2 linked regions of the Stegostoma tigrinum genome follow. The protein of the gene in region 1 purifies or fractionates together with the protein of each later gene. This does not show direct contact. Links are inferred from orthologs where the notes say so. Each region holds a gene or a part of one and is shown in the gene's direction. Other genes may lie near its edges.

Evidence for each region. Proteins that work in one complex are often made in the same cells at the same time.
Region 2: the proteins of dmd (region 1) and sntb1 purify together in Homo sapiens (co-immunoprecipitation; 4 studies listed by BioGRID and IntAct, counting the BioPlex papers as one, with this or other methods). This does not show direct contact. The link is inferred for Stegostoma tigrinum from reciprocal best matches to the Homo sapiens genes DMD and SNTB1.

The regions. Positions count from the first base shown.
Region 1 is NC_081365.1:58,611,003-58,617,442, reverse strand, and holds the start of dmd (dystrophin), read left to right. Parts: upstream 1-2,553; 5' UTR 2,554-2,707; coding exon 2,708-2,789; intron 2,790-6,440. UniProt on the Homo sapiens protein: Anchors the extracellular matrix to the cytoskeleton via F-actin. Ligand for dystroglycan.
Region 2 is NC_081358.1:38,257,002-38,263,441, reverse strand, and holds the start of sntb1 (beta-1-syntrophin), read left to right. Parts: upstream 1-2,728; 5' UTR 2,729-2,925; coding exon 2,926-3,213; intron 3,214-6,440. UniProt on the Homo sapiens protein: Adapter protein that binds to and probably organizes the subcellular localization of a variety of membrane proteins. May link various receptors to the actin cytoskeleton and the dystrophin glycoprotein complex.

The DNA.
Region 1 (6,440 bases):
CCAACGTAAGCACTGGAAAAGGTGCAGAGGAGATTTACCAGGATGTTGCCTGGTCTGGAGCGAAGGCCTTAGGAAGAAAGGCTGAGGGAGTTGGGTCTGTTCTCACTGGAGAGAAGGAGACTAAGAGGGGATTTAATAGAGACATACAAGATGATCAGAGGATTAGACAGGGTGGACAGTGAGAGTCTTTTTCCAAAGACGATGACATCAGCTTGTATGAGGGGGCATAGCTACAAATTGAGGGGTGATAGATATAAGACAGATGTCAGAGGCAGTTTCTTTATTCAGAGAGTGGTAAGGGCATGGAACCCTGGCTGCTAATGTAGTTAACTCAGCCACATTGGGGGCATTTAAACAGTCCTTGGATAAGCAGATGGATGATGATGGGATAGCGTAGGTGGATGGGTTTAGATTAGTTCATAGGTCGGCACAACATCGAGGGCCGAAGGGCCTGTTTTGTGCTGTATCGTTCCATGTCCTATGTTCTAAGACTGACACAGTAAATGGTAAGGTCCTGAGGAGTGTGGCAGAACAGAGGGACCTAGGAGTACAAGTATATAGCTCGTCAAAAGCAGCATCACAGATAGACAGGATGGGGAAGAAGGCATTTATCATGCTGGCCTTTATCGGTTGAGGCATTGAGCACAGGGGTTGGGGCATTATGTTACAGTTGTATTAGTTGTCAGTGAAGCTACATGTGGAGTATTGCGTACAGTTTTGGTCACCCTGTTATAAGAAAGATTTAGTTAAACTGGAAAGTGTGCAAAGAAGATTTACGAGGATGTTGCCACGACTATTAGGCTTGAGTTATAGGAAAAGCTTGTCCAGGAGAAGACTTTATTCCTTGGAGTGTGGGAGAATGAGGGGTAACCTTACTGAGGTGTATAAAATCATGAGAGGCATAGATAGGATGAATGCTTATTATCTTCTTCCCAGGGATGAGGAATTGAAAATTAGAGGGCACAGGATTAAGGTGAGAGGGGAAAGATTTAAGAAGGGCCTGAGGGGCAACTTCTTCATGCAGAGTGGTGCATATATGGAATGGGCTGCCTGAGACAGTGGCTGAGGCAGGTACAATAGCAACATTTTGAACCATTTGAATAGGTACGTGGATTGGAAAGGTTTAGAGGGATACGGACAAAATGCAGGCAATTGGAACTAGCTGAGTGGGCACTATGGTCAGCATGGACCAGTTAGGGCCAAAGGGTCTGTTTCTATGTTACATTACTCCATGACTCTATGACTCTGTAACTGCTGCATTCCAGCAACTTAGTTAATAACTATTCTTTTATATCATGGTTTGAAAAGCAAGCTGTCTTATGCAAACCCTTGGTGCTTGCCATCTCTGCTTCTTTGCTTGACCTGCTGCTCTTATCAATGTTCTCCCAATTGCTGGGGACAGAATCACTAATGATGGGATAGCAGATATGAGGGCTGAATAACAGGCCAGAATTCGAGCAACAGAGAATCCTCTTGAGGCTTGTAGCAGATTGGGGACCAGAATGAGAATTTCAAAGTTAACGGATCTGAAACTAGGAATTCAGCAAATAAAAGAGCAAAATTGAAAGGTGACCTAATAGAAGTTGATAAAATAATGAGAGATATAGACAGAGTTGTTGGGGAACTTTAAGAAGGGAGGGCATGTTTTTAAATTGAGAGGAGCGAGATTTAAAAAGGACATGAGGCAAATTATTTAGACAGAGGCTGGTTCGCCTGTGGAATGAGTTTCCTGGATGCAGGTACAATTACAACGTTTAAAAGATATTTGGATGGATATGTGAACAGGAAAGGTTTGGAGGGACATCAGCCAGGAGCAGGCAGGTGAGACTAGTTTAGTTTGGGATTATGGTTAGCATGGACTGGTTGGACTGAAGGGTTTGTTCCCATGCTGTACGTCTTTGTGATTCTGTAACTTAAATCGTTGCTTTAATATAATTGTCATTTAAAATTACTTCTAAGGAGGTTTAGTTTCTTTAAAAACAAATCCAGAAGTTGCTGGAAAAGCTGAGCAAGTCTGGCAGCATCTGTGGAGAGAGATCAGAATTAACGTTTCGGATCCGGTGACCCTTCCACAGCACAGCACCTCTGTGTTCGTTTCTGATTTGCAGCATTCGCCGTTCTTTCGGCTTTTTGGTTTCTTTAAAGTTTGATGTAACCCCACTTCTAGCTTGCTGCTATTAGATTGTCATTTGTGTTACCGACTATTGCTCCAACTTTTCCAAGGGTTTTGTCAATTAATGTCTGACGAAGGAAATAAAGTGATTGCGAGGGGAAGACACTTGTAGCGGCGATGGCGTTGGCGGAGGGAGTGGGGAACGGCACTGTCCCTTTAAAGACCGACAGAGAGCCTGTCAGTGTCAGGAGAGCAATCCGACTGTAGCCTTTCCTGATTTATGGGGGTGTCAGGTTTCCCCGGCTGATTCTGTACACGGGCTGGGCCGCTTCCCCACATTATTGATATATATGGAGTGGATTTATTTGGGGAGGGGTGGGAGAGGGACAGAGAGGCTCACCTGTTGATGTGTATCTGTTAGAAGTTGTGACAGCCCTGATCTGTGCCTGAGGAGGAGCTGCCCCGTCTTGAACTGCCCTGCAACACAGCGCTAGCTCTGCCGGAGTTGGAGACTGGCTTGAAAGCCAGCGGCGCTGGAGATCTCGCTGCCCGCAGCTTCCGACAGAGCACAGGCTGAGGCTCCAACATCGACCGATGGCAGAAGCTGGGCGTCCCGAGAGTGCGAGAGACGATTCGGCTGGAGACGAGTTTAACGAGATCATCAAAACTCGAACGGGTAAGTGGAGAGAGGACGGGCTGGAGAGGACGGTGCCCCGTACTGATCCCAGCTGAGGTTTGGCAAACTGAGAGTAGACCTCCAACTTTCAGAGGCTGTAAGGCTCTGGCGCCGGAGGTTTGGAAAGACCATTGCTCGTGTTTGTGTGTGTGTGTGTGTGTGTGTGTGTGTGTTTGGCTGAGCAGCTGCAGAGTAGAGTTGGCACCGGGAATGATGAAGCCCACCGAGTTAGACCCTGTTGGGGCTGCCCTCCTCTGAGATGGGCAGAGACCGCTCACTCACAGCGGGAGCTCTCACCGAGAATGGTTACAGCTGGAGTCGGGCTTAGGTGACAGAGTGAGGGTAACATGACAGGACCTAGAGAAGATAAAACAACAACTTTCCCGCTAGGTCAACATTTTGGACATAAAATAATGTGTGTGAGTGTGTGTGTGTGTCTGTGTGTTCGGTAGGACCGTGTATGTATTCCCAGTGATGTCCATAGGGAGAACACTGAGGAAATATTCATAAAGTGATTGTCGGGGTGGGATACAATGCGGGGGTTGAACTGCGGTAGTGTCTCTTTAAATACCGCAATGACAGCCTGTCAGAGTCCAAAGGACTGAAGAAGGGTCTAGGACCGAAACGTCAGCTTTCCTGCTCCTGAGATGCTGCTTGGCCTGCTGTGTTCATCCAGCTCTACACCTTGTTACTTCAGAGTCCAAAGGACATAGGCGCCAGTGGGTAGTATGTTGCTGCTGTTGCTCCTCCCATTGTAACAGAAGGGCAGTCCCCGGAACCTGCTTCTTCTCTGGTGTCGGATGGAGAGATGGACCAATCCGGGGGACTAAGGCCGCCTTAAAGTAAAGCAACGAAGTCGGCAACACGAGCTTGTGTGAGAAAGGAAACCTGCAGTGTACAGATTCTTCCCTCAAATAATGCAGTGGAAGGTTGAGGTTTGCTGGCCATGAATGATAGCAAAGGCCGTGTGAGACACACTTGGTGGCTTCTCATCCTCCCAGGGGCGTCCAGTTGAAAGTCTGGATACTGTGGGTTCCGAACTGGTGATAGAAACCCTTTGGAGAACTCTGTGCTGTGCAGGAAGTGAGATATGGGTTGCCTAACTGACAGTTATTAACTGTCGATCACCCTCAAATTCCAGCATATCCAATAAATCTGGTCGGTTGAAATCAACTGAGTACTTGGTTGTAAACTCCTTATTACATTGCAGCTCGTTTGCGGTCCAGTGTTGCATTTCTGGATTAAAAAGAGGGCCAACAGTTTGCTTACTTTAAAAGTTTCCCTTGCAGCCACATGTTCAGTTACTTTGCATGTTTTATCCAGTTATTCGCAACTTCATCCCGAGTGGGTTTCAGGGAGCTCGGTCATAAAATGCATGTACAAATTTGACAACTCAAGCAGCTAATGGCGCTAAGCCCCACGCCTTGGCGTATACCGAATTTGCTGTGTAACTGGGTTCTCAAAGAGAAAAGCACTTGGAGTGTTGGGAAACCCTTTGGGGAATAGATCATTATCCCGCGGAATGAAGCGCTGTTGAAGGAAAACCACAGCCACAGGGCTGTGTTGGAATTTGGCAATGCCGCTTCTGTTGACGTGTGCAGCCCAGTGCCAGTTACTGGGAAAATCTCGGGGAAACAACAGTCTCAACTTTGAGCAGGGAAAGGTCATGTTTTATTTTGATGTTAGAAGTTATGCTAGGGACAGCTCGGTGGAGACAGCCACCTGCTCTTCGGGAATTGAGAGAGTTGTGCAAACTATTTTAGGCCGTCACCAATTAAAAACTGGTTTTACATTTCATTCAGGAGTCCAATGTGATCGTTATTTTGTGGGATACAGGAATATCTATGCGCAAAAACACAGCTCAGAAGTATCCCGAACACATTTAAAGGAAAACCACACTGGAGAAGAGCCACAAAGACTTAACCTGGCATTAAGCTTGGAAAATCTAGTTCATTGATTTGGATGGTTTTTAATTCCTTCTCACCAACCAAAAGGTTACCAAAATATAAGAAAGAAAGTCTCTCCAGGTTAAATGGCAGTAGGTTTTGGTTGGGGGTGGATTCCTAGCTCAAAGCTAAATTAGAATTTAAGCACAGTGATACAAAATGGTAAAGTTGTTCTGCTTTAGTAACTAAAAGGAAATGAAAATCATCAAATTCTAATCTCTTCGCATGTACACATCTTTGGACTATCAGTCCCATATTGACAACAACAGTAAAGCCTGGGGCTCAGATATTCCTTGCTTTGAGATAGCAGGTGGATGGTTAGAAAGTTATTTGGAATAAAAGTTCAACTTAAGTAAAACACAGATTCTATAGTGATGAGTCAGTTGTAAAATTACACATAAAATCTCTTTAGATTAAGTGGACTGCTCAAGAACTGTTTATTTATTTGAAATATATTTCTGATGCAATTAAATCAGTTTACTTAGAAGGAGAGTTTGAAGAGAGATATAAAATCATTGAAGCAACTCCATTGGATCAGTCAATTTTATTTGATATTTAGCAATTCTATAATAATAAGCAAATATTGACTGTCATGTACAAAAATAAGACTGTTCCCCTGGTGGTAATGACGCTTTCATGATGCTATTATTGTGATCAGTATAATTTTTTGTAATCAGAGAGAATGTTTATCTTGAGCTGCAGGCATATTATCAAAACTGACTGGCAGTAGGGTGAAAGACTTTTATTTCATTATTGTCTCCCAATGCATTGATGGTGAAATTGAAATGCTTTGGCAGAAGTAATAACATATTCCATATCAGAATAATGTCACTTTGGTATTATTGTGCTGAAAGTTTCAATAACTTAATTTTCAACAAACAATGCAACTCAGAAATATTTACAAATTAAAGTTAAGCGAAGTATTATTTGTTATATTCTACAGCACAGCACTCCGTCCATAGTAGACATTTGTGCATGTCTCTGGAGTGAAATTTGAAACACAGCCTTCTGACTCAGATATGAGAATGTTACCACATTTACCATGGCTGAGAACACAGTGACTCAATAGGGTGTCACAGAAAATTTGACCAGTCAAATCCATGTGTGCTGACAAGTGGTTGTCAGATTCTGCCTGAATTTTCTTTCTTTTTGCTTTTGAACTACACAATACAACACATATTGTGGAAGAAAAATACAATTCAAAAATATTTACAAATACAAGTTCGAGAAAGTTTCAGTGTAATAATGCTAGATATAAAATGATTCCAATATGGAATGCGCTATGATTGCTGCCAAAGCATTTCAATTTCAACATCGATACATTGGAACCAACAATAATTAAATGCATGCTTTTAACTCAGTCATGTTGCTCAAAGTTACACGTTTCTATCATATACACAATAGTGTGATATTATTAATATGATATATTTGTCACATCACCGGTAAGTACGAAGAGACAGATATATTTTTGTCATGCCCTTCAGTGTTAACTACTTGAGACATACTTTTTATTTAATGACGATCATTATAAAACTAACTTCCTTGGTTCTATGTAACATATCCATTTATTAAAGGTATTCTAGTTACAGGGAGGGGAGTGGGGTGGAGGGGGCAAGCATTTTGTTTAAAATATATCTCTTTGCTGTTAAGCCAGGATTAATCACATAAGTATGTTCTAGCTGCACAATGTGAATCCTTATTTTGA
Region 2 (6,440 bases), on another chromosome or scaffold:
TTTGGGCAGTTTTGGTCCAGGGAAGTGAATGGGTCTGTGGGATGGGAAGTTAGGTGTGGGGGTTGTGATTAGTGGTGTGGGGTTCTGTGTAGGAGGTTTGGGACGAATTGGGTTACATTGTTTGTGACTTGATAACAATTGTAGGGAAAGTATCCAGGTAAGTCCCACGTATCTACCCAAAGTTTCCAACACTGACTTCAGTTTAAGGTGGAGTGTCTGACCAGCAGGTATGTGCCTATTGGGAATTTAAACTCGCTGTAACTTCCCGTCATGATTTCCGCTGGGTCCTAAAGTGGAACAGCAATGATGCCTCAGCATTCACCAACGTTGGTATTGGAAAGTCTGATCAATTCAAGGTGGTCAGCAGGATGAGGGGGGTGAAGAGACAAGTGCAGTGGCTTTTGTCGATGTTTGTCCCAAGCAGCTCCATGACACAGGGCACTGTGCTCTATGGTCTGAGACCAACATCAATGCCACCTAGAGGACCAGCAACTTGGTGAAAGATGTTCTTGTCTGTCAGAAACTTGTTAGTCTTCCAGTGCAAGAAATTGTCCCTGACCGAGTGTTGCAGGCTGGAACATCCCAAGGTCCAGGGCTATGTGCTGAGGGATGCGCTAAAGCTTGGGGCAATGGGGAAAAGGCCACTGTCTAAGGTCTTTCTGCGTAAGTACAGTGTGGGTCTGTTCAGCTGTCAGGCCCTCTTGTTGCCTCAGATGTATGTAAATACGATCCTGCAGAAATAAGAAATGCCTCTAGGTTTTGCAAATGCAGAGAATATCAGGTTCCAATGTTTGGTTTTCTTGATATGCAAAGACTATACAGAATTGTTTTTTTGGCTTGAAGACAAGGTTTATTTTTAATTAACTATTTTGTGCGTGTGTGTTTCTGATTAGGTGCATCATTATCCCCTACCTCTCCCTTTTGTCCAGCTTTGATGAAAAGTTGAAACAGCCTGTACACAACACACATTGTGTGGCCAATACTTTGATCCTCGTGAAATTGTATTTTGGATTACTGAAGAAGTGAAACAGCTTTTATAATTAGAGAAATCTATTCCGCCCAAAATTATGTACATAAAGGGTTTTTTTTGTGAATAAAGTTACCCTGTTATAGGAAAAACATAGTTAAAGCGGAAAGCATGCAAAGAAGATTTATGAGGATGTTACGAGGACCAGTAGGCCTGAGTTATAGGGTGAGGTTGGCCAAAATAGGACCTTATATCTTGGAATGTAGGAGAGAGCGGGGTGACCTTATTGCGGTGTATAAAATATTGAGGGGCACAGATAAGATGAATGCATCTGGTCTTTTCCCCAGCATAGCTTTAAGCATAGGTTTAAAGTGAGAGAGAAACGTTTTAAGGACCTAAGGGGTAACTTCTTCATGCAGACAGTGGTACGTATATGGAATGGGCTGCCCAAGAAGATGGCTGTGGCAGATACAATAGCAATATTTAAAAATAACATTTGGATAGGTGCATGGATGGGAAGGGTTTAGAGGGATATGGATAATATGCAGGCAATTGGAAGTAGCTGAGGGGGCACCATGGACCACTTTGAGCCGTAGGGTCTGTTGTCATGCTCTATCACTCGAAGCATATTCTTGCATTAAAAATAAACCCTGTCCGTATCACGATCAGAGATAATGGGAACTGCAGATGCTGGAGAATCCAAGATAACAAAGTGTGAAGCTGGATGTACACAGCAGGCCAAGCAGCATCTCAGGAGCACAAAATCTGACGTTTCGGGACTAGACCCTTCATCCGGAAGGATCTAGGCCCGAAACGTCAGCTTTTGTGCTCCTGAGATGCTGCTTCGCCTCCTGTGTACATCCAGCTTCACACTTTGTTACCCTGTGGGTATCGTGTAAGGCGCATTCTCTCTTAAAGCCACATGGTGTCGTAGTTCTCTGTAGAAACTAACATTAGACAAAAAACAGGTTCCCGCTCAGTTAAGGAATTTCTCCTTGTTTGCTATGTGTGCAATTATAAATTGTGGTAGTTGGTAGGGGTGTGTGACCCTTCCTGTCAAACAACTCTGCTTTTCCTGGGACTCTGGTTCTTTAATAATCTTGGCTTCGGATTCCCTTTACCAAACAGAACAGCACATTGTGCAGGAACAAACCTTGTTTTTATAATCATTTGTGCGTACCTTATGGCGTCCCGGTTCTCGTGTATTCCTCGTTTCATCAGAGGAACAGCATTTGCTCAAGGTATAATGAGGTTCCCTGCTCTTTTATGGTTGGGGCTGTGAGTGGAATCTGGGGCAGGTCTGACAGGATTAAGTTTTTCGGCTTGAAGACAGGGATTTTTAAATTAAAGTGCTAAACTATGATTTGTGCGTGTGTGTTTCTGATTAGGTGCATCATTACCTCTCCCTTTAGCCCGTTTTGATGAAAAGTTGAAACAGCCTGTACACGACAGGCATTGTGTGGCCAATACTTTTGGATCCTGGTGAAATTGTATTTTGGATTATCGAAGGAGTGAAACAGCTCTTATCGTTAGAGAAATCTATTCTCCCCAAAATCTCTCTCACGCTCAAAGCAGGAGGTGAAGCCAACTATTAAAGCCTGGGATTTCCCGGGTCAATTTCAATTTGAAATTTACACCTGACGGCCCACACCTTTAAACCAGTGACTGGTTCATTTATTCTGCACAAGACAATGTAACTTTTAGCGCGATGTAGTTACACTCCACGCCTCCCAGTTCCAACACACACCCTCTATAGTTCACATCAGAAAGTGGGTGGAGATTTTTTTGTTGTCTAACTTGTCCATCTCAAACAGGAACCGAGCTTAAGAATTTCTTGGCACTAAACGAAGTGGAGGGAGGGAGAGAGAAACAGGAATTCCAATCTCCCCTTAAGGGCTACAGCCATTCGGAGCTTTATCAACTTCTGGACCGAGTGGCATTTTAAGAATGCGACAAAGATGGCGTTAGCCGGCAGAGTACAGAGAAGTGGACTGTTAGAAGTTTTGGTCAGGGACAGCTGGCATCGTGTGCTGGCCACCCTGAATCAGGAGAATCTGATCCTGAGCTGTGAGCAGCCTGGGCACACTGCTTCCTGGAATGGACTCACCAACGGAGCGGGCTCACAAAGTCCCCAAGCCGCCTCCCGCAGCCCCAAATCCACGGCCGTACGCAACGCCTTCACCGAACTACCTGAACACATCCCCGAAACTATCAGCAACAAGAAACGGAGCGTTAGGGTCATCAAGGTACTTCCAGTTGCCTCCTGAGAGAATGGGAAGTCTGTCGTCTCCTTCCCCACCCCCCCCTTTTTTTTGCTGTTTGAGTTAATGTATTTTCAGTGATGCTTTTGTTTTGCTTTGTACTTTTGATTGTAAATCAGTTGCACGTTTTAAATTCCATTTGCAGAAAGTTGGCAGTGTTTTCTTGCAGTGACATTTGACATGGGATGGCACTCTGTTTTGCTAATTCCATACGTGTCCCATTCCCAGTCAACAGCAAAACTGCACAATCTCAACGTGCCACAGTTTCATTAGTTGGTCACTTTGACCTTTTTGGTTACATTCGACCTTTCCCAAAAAGGGAGAGGAGAAATGTTTTCGATTTAACGTCAGGATTAGCCCACGCTTGTGTCTGAATCAGTCTCTTGTGACCAAGGTGGGGATTAGATGTTTTGAGCCGTGAAGGGGTTCCAAAAATTAACTTTTTAAATAAAGAAATGGGCAATGAAAGCAGAGTTTCAGGATTCAGCTCTTTCCGCAACAACTTCTGAGTGTGGCAATAATTTCTGCGTTTGCTGTGATTTTGTTTTTCGTGCTTACCTTTTATTCACCGCTCCGAATTAGTTCGGAGTCTGGATTTTTTTTATCTATATATCACTTTACGAGTTCTGCCATTTTTTTTGTTAAAAGTGCCCAGTCATGATTAATAATCGCTGGGCTTGCAGTAGCGCCGGCGAGAGCTCTACAAGCTGTAATTAACCCATCGAATACCCAAGGCTGGCCCCTTTGCTTGGGAGGTGCACTTGGTTGCAGGCGCCTCCGCATCTGTTTATAAATTAGCTTGCATTCATATAGCGCCTGGAACATCCCAAAGTCACTGGTATCAGCTTTTAAAATAAACCATTGCGATCACTGGCCCAATCAGCTGTGACATTAAAAAAAAATCCACATTTATACGTGACTGGCAATTGCCCTGTGAAGGTGGCAAATAGCTTTGGGGGGCACTTGAGAGTTAATCACAGAGGGCCAGGATTAACTAATAGTTCCAAACCAGGTGAAGGTGGCATTTCTTCCTCTAAAGGGCAGCACAGTGGGTTCAGTGTTTAACACTGCTGCCTCAGCACTGGGGACCTGGATTCGGTTCCACCCTCAGTAACTATCTGTGCAGAGTTTGCACATTCTCCCCATGTCTGTGTGGGTTTCCTCCGGGTGCTCCAGTTTCCTCCCGCGGTCCAAAGAAGTACATGTTAGGTGGATTGGCCCAGTAGTGTCCAGAGATGAGGAGGTCAGGTGCATTAGCCACAGGGAGTGGTAGGGGGCTGGGTCTGGGTGGGATGCTCTTTGGAGAGCTGTTGGACCAAATGGCCTGTTTCCACACTGTAAGGATTCTATGGGATAGTAGTGAATCAACTCAACATCTTCACAGCAATTTTCTTTTTCTTCAAAAATGTACTTTAATCATAAAAAAGTACACATTTAGCCACAACGTAGCATATCAAGGAAACAAAGAAATATTGGAATTTGACTCTATCTAACAAACAAACCAACTCAAACTCTTACTCGAACAAGACAAGACTGTGCGTTTGAAGCACAGAGAGGGTCCGATAACTGAAGGGATCCCGACTTGCCTTCGGCAGAGGACCTCAGACTGTGGCCTTTCCCCACTGTACCTTGGTGACAGCTGCCCCAAGCTTCAGTGTGTCTCTCAGCACAAAGTCCAGCACCTTGGAAGGTGCCAGTCTACAACACTCAATCAGGGTCAACTCCTTGTCCTGGAAGACCAACAAGTTTCTTCCAGATTGCTCACCCCTGCTTTTATTTTCCTGATTTTCTTGCTTTTTTTGTTTAAACTAGGATCTGGACTGATATTCTACTGTTAAGTCTAGGTTACTGAGCATCTAAATACGACCAACTTATTAGTTAGGTGGGAGGTATTAGCATGGTTTTAATGTCACTTGTAATTCAGAACGCCAGGCTAATCGTCTGGGCTAATGGATTCAAATCCAACCATGGCAAATGGTGAAAGTAAATTAGGGGAGGTGACGATCTAGTGGTAATGTGGCTGGACTGCTTTATCCAGAGACACAGGTAATGTTCGGGAGACACGGGATTGAATCCTGCTATGGTAGATGGTGGCATTTGAATTTAATAAGAATTGGGAATTAATACTCTAATGATAGCCATGAATCCATCGCCAATTGCCCCGAAAGACCCATGTGGCTCACTTAATGTCCTTTAGGGAAAGAATCTGCCATCCTTGCCTGACATACAAGTGACTCCAGGCCCACAGCAATGTGATTAGCTCTTAACTGCCCTCTGAGCAATTGGAGATGGGCAATAAATGCTGGCCTCACCTGCATTGCACTTGTCATGTGAATGAATAAAACAAACTTGATAGAAACCTACAATAAAAAGCTAAAGACAGCCCCACCTGTCATACTTATCTGCTTTGGCCTATATGTGACTCCGGACCCACAGTAGTGTCTGGGTAACAAGGGATGGGCAATAAATGTTGGCTTAGTCAGCGATGCACAGATGCTGCAAACCCATTTTCAAAACAGTGGGTTTTCCTTCAGTTGGGATGAGGGGTGAGTAGAAGTGCTGTCAGGGTTAAGGGGAGATGAGTGTGAAGCCACTCTCTGGTGGTGAAGGCCTGTCAAAGATTGAATTGGGGCCCAGGGCAAGGGAGTTAGAATAAGAGAAAAAGAACTTCTGGCCTGTACTGGCCTATAAGGAAGCCTAAAATGAAATGTTAAAACCTTAACTATTTGGACCTGTTCAGATCTTGAGCTGATCTCACTCCTGAAATGTGTACTGCAAGGTCTGGCTGCAGGTTTGAACCAGGTTCAGAGCTAAGGCAGATTTTGCATATGCGTTTGGGGTGGTTGAGATTTTTTTTTTGTGACGTGGGAGGGTTCTGCATTTGCTCCTGCTGAAGTCGAGACTGTGCTTCCTCTTACTCAAGCCTTGGGATAATTATTGCATATTCTGTAGATTTAATCAGATTTAAAACATTGCAGGTTAACATGGGACTCAGCTTCCAGGAAGCAACTTTGGCGGAAGTGATAATTGCATCCCATTATTTTAACTACCCCTCACTCCCCTTGTCCAGCCCAGTTTTCGCCCGACAGGCACAGATAAAATCAGGATGAAAATTACAGATAGTAGTTACTTTGTTATTCTTTCTGGATTGATCCAAACTCGTTTTCTTCACTTAACAGTAGTCCTTCAGTTCAAAAGTCAAGCATTTGGCT